2 linked regions of the Arabidopsis thaliana genome follow. The protein of the gene in region 2 interacts with the protein of the main gene of each other region in a pairwise test. Each region holds a gene or a part of one and is shown on either strand. Other genes may lie near its edges.

The links.
Region 1: the proteins of RSZ22a (region 2) and AT2G31730 interact in a two-hybrid assay, tested with the Arabidopsis thaliana proteins (one large-scale study listed by BioGRID).

What each region holds. Positions count from the first base shown.
Region 1 is NC_003071.7:13,486,851-13,491,624, forward strand, and holds AT2G31730 (basic helix-loop-helix (bHLH) DNA-binding superfamily protein), read right to left. Parts: upstream 2,830-4,774; 5' UTR 2,489-2,829; intron 1,842-2,488; exon of another isoform or gene 1,746-1,841; 5' UTR 1,744-1,745; coding exon 1,627-1,743; intron 1,518-1,626; coding exon 1,452-1,517; intron 1,375-1,451; coding exon 1,309-1,374; intron 1,223-1,308; coding exon 1,178-1,222; intron 1,101-1,177; coding exon 933-1,100; 3' UTR 700-932; downstream 1-699. Other genes in the region: AT2G31725 (FAM136A-like protein (DUF842)), read right to left, coding at 413-541; AT2G31740 (S-adenosyl-L-methionine-dependent methyltransferases superfamily protein), read right to left, coding at 4,203-4,406, 4,527-4,677, 4,767-4,774.
Region 2 is NC_003071.7:10,447,530-10,451,705, reverse strand, and holds RSZ22a (RNA recognition motif and CCHC-type zinc finger domains containing protein), read right to left. Parts: upstream 2,076-4,176; 5' UTR 2,003-2,075; intron 1,881-2,002; 5' UTR 1,870-1,880; coding exon 1,781-1,869; intron 1,692-1,780; coding exon 1,603-1,691; intron 1,508-1,602; coding exon 1,258-1,507; intron 1,166-1,257; coding exon 1,040-1,165; intron 883-1,039; coding exon 846-882; 3' UTR 522-845; downstream 1-521. UniProt on the Arabidopsis thaliana protein: Probably involved in intron recognition and spliceosome assembly.

The sequences.
Region 1 (4,774 bases), 3.0 Mb from region 2:
TGATATCGTTGTCAGGGTTTAATTAATTTGAATCAACGGATCATATAACTCAATATAGCAACCCAAAAACACAAGAGAAGGTGTTAATAACTCTCATGCTTCTGAAGACAAAGCAGAGCAATTGTTATGCAACGAGACACGCCTACTTATCGAATATCCTACAGAGCACAATATAGTAATTAAACCAGAGCAATTGTCGTGAACCTAATCCATAGTGTCTAAAGACGAATATAGTACGAACCCAAATGCAAATTTTCAGACTTTTTTCATGAACCTACTCAATTCATCAAATTTGAAACTAGCATTGTATCAAACCAATAAAGATTCCATATTCAGAAGCTAACATTGCTAAATTGTTATATCAGAGAGAATTTATGCTGAGCTCGCGAAAAGTACAGATTTTTGTATATACCTGAAGGGTGAAATTGATGTGATCTTGGATAGGAGAAAGCTGAGTCTGAGCAGCTACATTAACTTCTTCAAGCTTTCTTCGAAGTCTCTCCGATACGATTTGCTCTTCCGCCGCAGCGATGTGATCCATTGTCGCCTTCTCTGTTTAGCGTAATTTTGATTTTAGGGCTTTAGGGTTTTAGCTAGCTGCTCTCTTCAATAGAAGATCCTTCAATAGCCGCAAACAAAACGGGTTTGACAATTTTGGGTCGGGTTAAGTTTCCCGGGTTTCTCTAAACCGGTTAACTCTTTTTCACCAATTCAAACTTTATTAAACAGGAAGCTAATTCCGGTCATTGACCGGTCCGTTAAACTTCGCATTAGAATCAATTGTTACAAGAAGCCACCACAGAGTTGGGATTAAGCAGTAAAAAATAACAGAAACAGCCATCACCGACTTCAAGGTCTCTCCATCAATACATGATCAGACCAAAGCTTTGGCTAATTTTCATTAGTCTTGAGACAGAGAATTTAGCAGCAGCTCATTGAAAGGGCGAATTAGAAGACGAGAGATTAAAAGCATGAGAAGATGTTGGAGTCTTCACAGGAGCCCAAATATCAGCACCATTGGTTTGAGCAACTTCTGATGTATACTCCAATGGAACAAGACATAGCCCTTTACTTCTTAAGCTGTACTCTTCCACTTCCTCCTAGTTACAGAGATGGAAAATATCAGTCTTGCATTGTGATCCAAGTAAACGAGATCCAGATCATAGATTCAGCTCACCTCTGTAGTAGAAGGGGTTGCTTGCAGATAAGGAGCACTTAGAACCTGAACAGAGAAAATCAAGCATAATCATCATTGGATTGGAGGAGGTGAATGAATGAAAAGTATTTGATTAGAAAACTTGAGCAGACCTTGACTTGTTCTTGAAGAAACTGAATGTATTGCATTCCCTCTAGAAGAACTGATGCAGTGTCGGTCTGCATAGATAGAGACTTGAACATGGCTAGAGAAGACAAAGAGCGTGTAAGAAAGATTATTTCGGACCAAGTAGTACCTTTCCGTAAGGGGAAACTAGTTGTTGAAGAGCTGAAATACGTTCTGCTAATTTGTCTTTCCTCTCCTGTTTAAACCACAGAACAACAAAGTTTCAAGATCATTAGCATGCTGGTACAGAAATGTCCGGTAGCTTCATAGCCACAATGAATTTTGATTTTGATGTATCACAAGACCTTGGAAGAGAAAGAGAGATCAGATGACTTGTGTCGTTTAATTTTGTTATCTTCAAGCGAGTAGACATTGCGCTTAGTCTCCATCATCATCTCTGCCGAGTCTCTAGAGTATTCCATTCCTTGTCATCAAACAAAACAAAAATGATCGGTTTTTCGACATAAGAAACCGGTTTACTTGCTACCATTTATAAAGATAATCTCATGGCTTCATCCAAGGCAAGTTGCAGAAAAAAACATAAGATTACAACTCAACAACTTGCTTTTGCAAGCGTCATAAGGACAAAACTATACGCCTTGAGATATTCTCAGACCAGACAAACAAAGTGGTGTCTTGGTTTTAACATCAAAATTAGATGTTAACTACTACAAATTAAGGGATGCAAATCTAGGTTTGGACCAACTAATGCATTGGAAGATACGACTTTTGGATTAGAAAACAAGAGCAATGGTCAAAGAAAGTAGATAATGGTCAGAGGTTATCCATATAAGATCACATCAGCTTAAAGTATTATTTAAAGTTTAGTAGCACAATCATAGATGTTTAAATATGATATCATACTTTGCTTCCATACATAGACAATACATTGTAGGATGCATGAAACTACGGAATTAACTCATTAATTTAGTTCATCTAATGAGCAGAACTAGTTAATCATTATACGTGTTTTTATTTTGGATCGAGTTAGCTCCATTAGACAAGATTCAAAGCTAAGCAAACTTCAATAGAAAAACCCCACAAGAAGATGAGAACAAAAAATACCAAAAGATTCATGATTTTATTTTGCCTTAAAATACTCTAAGTTAAGTCAAAAAGACCAAAAATGGGGAACAAAACAGAGTAAATGAAGAAAAAAGAACTTACAGAGAGAAGAGACTCAGCATTTGCCAGAAACAGCAGACTAACCAACAAGTAACTTCACAAACTCTAAAACTTCTTGGTCTAAGCTCTCTAAATGGGTATTTATGTCACCCTAAGCACAAGACACGATGAAACCCATAAACGAGGATCTTGGTCTCTCTAGTGTATATATATTTTTACTTTCTTTTGTCTTCAGGTCTTGAAGAAAGCCATTAATGAAGCCGGAGCTCCAACGGTGACACGATTCCAGAGGTTTGTGTTTGGATGAAAACGGCGTCGTTACTTAAAGGGTCGTGAAAGAGAGGAGTTTTAGTTTTATGTAGAGAAGAAAGCAAAGAAAAGAGGGGACTACGTTTCATATGTCTTTTTCTTCATTTTGTTTTTCCTTTCGTCCTCTTCATTTAATTCTCATTAAATCTATAGATTTTTTTGTGAGACAAATAAATTGTTAGAATATATAATCGTAAAACTTTATTCTGTTTAATTCAAATCTCTTAATCAATCGAAACTATATTATATGTGTTATTCAGTACTATTTGACGGTTAGGAAATAATTACTATAGTAGTAATTAGGAAGTAACTTGAAGAATTTAGTTTAGTGTATATATTTGGAGTTAGGGAATGTAATGGAAATGTAAAAATTTGACAGCTAATGTACAACCAATGGTGAGAGAGGTCCTTTTACCAGTCCCAGATAGAAGTCGCTTTCATTATTTTCATAATAAAATAATAAATAAGCTAATAATTTTGAAAGTGACATTTGATTGTTTTTTATGTAGTTTTGTCAAAATGATTTTGACCAATTCTTCTGCATCTGTCACTTCTTTTTCAACTTTGTGCTTTTTCTTGTTTTGTTATCCTTTCTTTGAAATTTTCTACGAGGGAGGTTGGTTAATGCAGCGTACCCTTTGGTTGATATCCGAGTATATTCACATTTTCAAGTTTCAACGACACAGCTTTTTGTTTATATGGAACAGAATCTATCTTCTTTTGTTTCTCCAAAGTAAACAGCTAAATACTAACCCAAAATTGAAAAGCATAAACAAATAGTTGAATCTAACCAAACAAACAGAAAAAACAAACCTAACTATAACTAAAAGGCAAAAAATATAACAACAATATTGATTACATGCAAAATATTTGAAATGTTTACAAATGTCCAATTGATCAGCGTTCCATATCGGACCCACGCGGTTTCTGAATTTGTTTCTTTGCCACAAATGTTTTTCTTTTGTCTTCGCGGCGACCAGATTTTGGTTTAGGTGTTTCAATTTATATCTCTCTTACGTACGTACCAAAATCGGCCTGTATCAAAGGCTTTCTTTCCCAAATTACAATATTACAACCATAATTATTATAGCTCCAATGAATAAACAGCAATTATGCTAATCACCATTCGAGCATTTCTTAGCAACAATAAGGAAGATCACTCAAATCAGAAACAATACGGATAGTTCCCAAAAATGCACAAAATTAATCAAGACATTGATGTTTAACTTACATTCCAACTTCACTATCATCCAAATTGAATGCTTCAATAAGTTGGTAGGTCTAACAATCATAAAGGTTATGAAAAAAACTCCACGCTTCATTTTCCATTTGCGTATGGACGAAACTAGGTGTATTGTATATAATATAGTCTCAAAAATTTCAATCTTAACTTATAACAGAAATATATCTCACACGTCTTTTTAAAACGAAATAATAAAGAATGTTTTTATTTCCAGCATTTCAGCTTCTTTGTAGCGTCTATGATGCTTTGCTTCGTTTCCAATCTCTGGCACTTGAGCAATCCCTCCAGTATAACTGCAGATTCTGGAATATCGTTCTCGCTGATTACAGATTCAGAGCAAAGCCCAAAGAGCACTACGTTTACGTCATCTTCCTCTTCTAGTTGCAGGCCAAATAAATGATCGAAAACCTTGGCAAAAAACAAAACAATAGAGATCAATTCTATGACTCAATTTCCGTGCAATAGTATCAGATCAGATTTGTGAAAATATGCAGAGAATTTACAAGGAATGAATCACATTTGCTTTACCTTTTTCATTCTTGATACTACCATATCTTTGACGGACTGTGATCTCGTGACCAAATTCACTATGAAAAGACCGTGCTGAGGGAGAGCTTGCTTAACCGAAAGAAGAAATGTCTCTTCGATAAAATCAGATGCAGGGCAGGTTAATCCGCCGCTGCAGACAAGAGATCAAACAAGAAAACAATCAGGCTTACCATGTGGGTAAATTCATAGATATGTGAATTTACTTGCCATGTCTTTTACCTTGAATC
Region 2 (4,176 bases):
AACGTGATGAAACCAAAGGAATGACTATTGCAGATGGCGATAAGTGTTTATCCAAGTGCCCACCTCAAACAAAGCAGAGACGTTCTACATACTCTAAACTATTCTACACCGTAAGACAAGTTTCTTCGAAGCCTGCCTGAAAGGTATTAAATACCTGCCAGAGTAGCAAGTGCAACTCCTCGGCCATTTTAAGTTCAAGAAAAGCAAGACCAGCAATCATCAGAGCCGATGAAGTTTTCAAACATAAGAGCATCTAGATGAGAAGCAGAGTAGATGTGAACTAACATAAAGATCCCAAAGCAGGCCGATCAAAATAACCAAGAAGCCAGAAGCAGTTAAGCAATGAAGCAGAAGTAGTGGTAAACAATTATGAAGATCCCAAAGTAGGCAGATCAAAATAACGAAGAAGCGAGAAGCAGATAAGCAATGAAGCAGAAGTTGTGGTAAACTACTATGAAGATCCCATAGCAGGCCGACCAAATTAACCAAGAAGCCAAAAGCAGATAAGCAATGAAGCAGTAGAAACCTGAAGAAACCTCGAGATGATAGAACAAAAAACAAAGAAAATGCATAGGTTTTTAGCAGAGCTTTTGTTTATGTCTTTTAAGAACATGGGTAGATATTTAAAAGTACTTTACCTAACGGCAGATACAACTATGGCTTCATAATCCAAACGCAATAAGAAGCTTTCCAGCAATTCAAAAGTAGCAAGCATATCCAATCCACCACACAGCTAAAACATATTCTCTTAGTGAAATTCACAGATACTAATTTCCTCTCCTCTTGACGTCACAAGCAAATAGTTGTCTCCTGATCCCATAATTTGCTATCTAGACAAGTAACACTCAGCTCCGGCTTCTGCGCACATCTTTCAGACCATTTCTGCATAAACAAATACAAAAACTTATCAGCCACATGGACTCTGTTTTTTAACACAACGTCTAACAAAAAAGTCTTTGGGACGATAATGCCACTAGTTCAGTTTCAATTTCTTATATTGATTGAGATACAGTAGACTCAAGAGCAAGGGGAGTTTTACCCATTAGCATATGGCACCTCGTCACGTGCTCTATAAGGTGGTGGTGACCTACTGTAGTTGCGACCACGAGGAGAAGGACTACGACGTCTTGGAGGAGGAGGAGATCTAGCACGAGGGCTGTAACTTCTGTGAAACCAAAAGACAAGGTAATAAATCAATGAGGTAGACCAATTTCTTTTAGTTGCAAATCGTCAATCAGAAAGAATAGGGACAATAACCTTCGTCCTCCATAGGTAGGACTCTTTCTGTATCTAGGAGGACTGCGACTACGGCTGCGGCTACGACGCCTACCACCAGAACCACCACGAGAACGACATTCACGTGCAAAGTGACCAGACTCACCACACTCATAGCACTTCAAATCAGAACCACCACGTCCACGACCACCATCACCTCCTCCACGACCACCACCACGACCTCCACCACCACCACGGTTATGAGACTGCTCTACCCTCCATCCATTCTTGCCTACCATAACAATATAGATCATATATATATCAAACTCATAACAACTCATAACAACTCATAAAACCAGACCAGTAGAATAGAAGACCAACGAATACCATCTACTTCACGGATGGCGTCACGGGCATCTCTTGAATCTTCAAAATCAAGAAAAGCGTAACCAGGAGGTCTTCTAGCAACCCAGACACTGCACAGACACCAAAAGAACAATGAGGATAAATGCAAATTCACACACTTTACATCAACTAAAAACCAAAAAGGAGTCAATTTATGTACCTCCTGATCACACCAAAGGAACGAAACTCATCCTCGAGTTCACGTTCAGTAACTCGCGGATCCAAATTACCAACATACACACGCGACATCCTCAAGTTACCTATCAACAAAAGGCTTCAATTCAAAAACTTTGAAAGCGATGAATTCAAAAAGATGAAATCTATAGATCGAAACTACGAATGAATCTGGAGTAAAGAAGTGACAACGGAGATCGGGATTTACCTGAAGAAACGGCTTTGGCTCTTTCTCTTGCTCGTCTGTGAGAAATTAGGGTTATCGATTCGAAATTGAAGATGAAAGTTATTTTTTGTGGGTCAACTTTAAATGTCCTTCAAAAGTTATTCCTTGATTTGGGCTTAAAATGGGCCGCATGCGATATGGTACAGTAACAATAATGCCTCATATTCATGCAATTACTGATTATAAAATTAAAATGTCAGATGTTAAATAATAATAATTCAAAATTAAAAAAAAGCTCTCAGCATATAAAAGGAATTCAAAAAAAAAATGAGTATCACTCTTAAGTATTTATACGATTTTCAAAAAAAGTTGATAAAACTTACCGAAAATACAAAAAAAAAAGAAATTGAAATCTACATAAATCCCCAAAAACTACAACACAACACAAGGAGAAAACACTAAGAAAACACAAGCGAAAACTTCACAAGTAGAGATCCTGAGAAAAACACTGTTTCTAAACCCCAAATTGAAATCTCGTCGTAAATTCAAATTTTAATTAAAAAATATAAAGAAAGCTCTTTTCTATGTCCACTGAATATTTTATGTAAATGAAGAAAGCTCTTTTTATGCTCATACTTTTATGTATATACTAACCCATACATCTCAGATGATGAGGATGAGAGAGGAAAATAAAACTTAAGAGGGAGACTATTTGACCCAAAAAAAAAAAAAAAAAAAAAGAGAGAGACTATTACCTCTAGTTTTTGAACTAAGTGAAGAAAACTATTTCGTTCAAATTTTTATTTATAATAATAATTCACTCATTAAGCATCACAAATTAGACAATAGATGCATCAGCCTATTTGTAGGCCTAACCAATCCTCTACTTTATTCATCGGAATCGATCACTAGATATATAGTCGATAGGCAAACAAAGATATAACCATAAAAACCAATTTTGACACTATTATTTATTTGCGTAATGCTAGTAGGTGTGTACAAATGAACATAATTATGACCATGACAACGGCATGGTAACCACTCATGCCTCGAAGTTCACCTTCTGCTACCAACATATTTCCATCACATCATCCTAGCATTATTAAAGAGGCTAAGATACAACCTTTTAGCTCTTCTAATGCTAATAATCCTAGCATCATCCTAGCATTATTAACTGAGTGCATCTTTAGCTCTTCTAATGCTTTTTCTAGAGAAGAAATGGTTTGAATCACCCTTATTTTACTAATAACATATTTGGGTTTAAGATGAGTTTCTAACTTAAAACCAATTGGCAATGAAACTAATCATTTATAAGTATATTACTTGATAATTTTTCTAATTTTCGAGTGTAACTTTCTCTCATTAACAACTAACCATTCGATTATTTTAAGAACTTTGGTTTTGATACGGTTCAGTTTGGTCAGTTATTAAAATTATTGGGTTTTTTTGCCCATGCCTATATCTCCCAAAATCACAATATTCAAATAAAAACTTTTACCACTTGAACCATGGTTCTAGTTTAGAATGGTTTGTTTGGAAAAGACAATAGAGGCTAAATCGTAATTTTGTGCTTTATCACTTATGAGTTTCACTTTTAAATCAGTCACTTAACAAAAACCGGACGTGACAATATATTATGTCCAGATATTAATTTGGGATTAGCCTATAACATCCAATCATTCCCAAGAGCAATGATATAATTTTGTAGTTTTTTATTTACTATTTAGTGCGCACCTTTCTTGAACCAAGACTCCATTCAGTGACAGGATTAGATAAGTATGTGTGTATTATTGAAATGTCGTCGAGAGTCCACTTGAAGTTTGAACTATGACGACAAGAATTATTCCTTTTCTCTTCTTTCTATTCAGATGGAGAGAAGCTCACCTCAAGATTTTTAAAACGGCACTCAATTACGACTTATTTTGAGAAATAATTAATAAAATTTATAAATTATTACGTGCTCTATTTTATAATTTTTCTCTTTTTTATAGGTTTTAAGACATGAAACACTGCTTCTATGTTTTTTTTTTGGTAATCAACACTGCTTCTATGTTTGGTGAAGACATCTTGCAAATGACATTACATAAATCATAGAAATTAGTTTCGATGTTATTCTAATTAAATCCTAAAATATGGACAAAAAAGAGTGATTCTATTGTTCAAAAAGAAAAAGAAGAGTGATTCTAAAATTATAAGCTAAATATCGATTTTAGAAT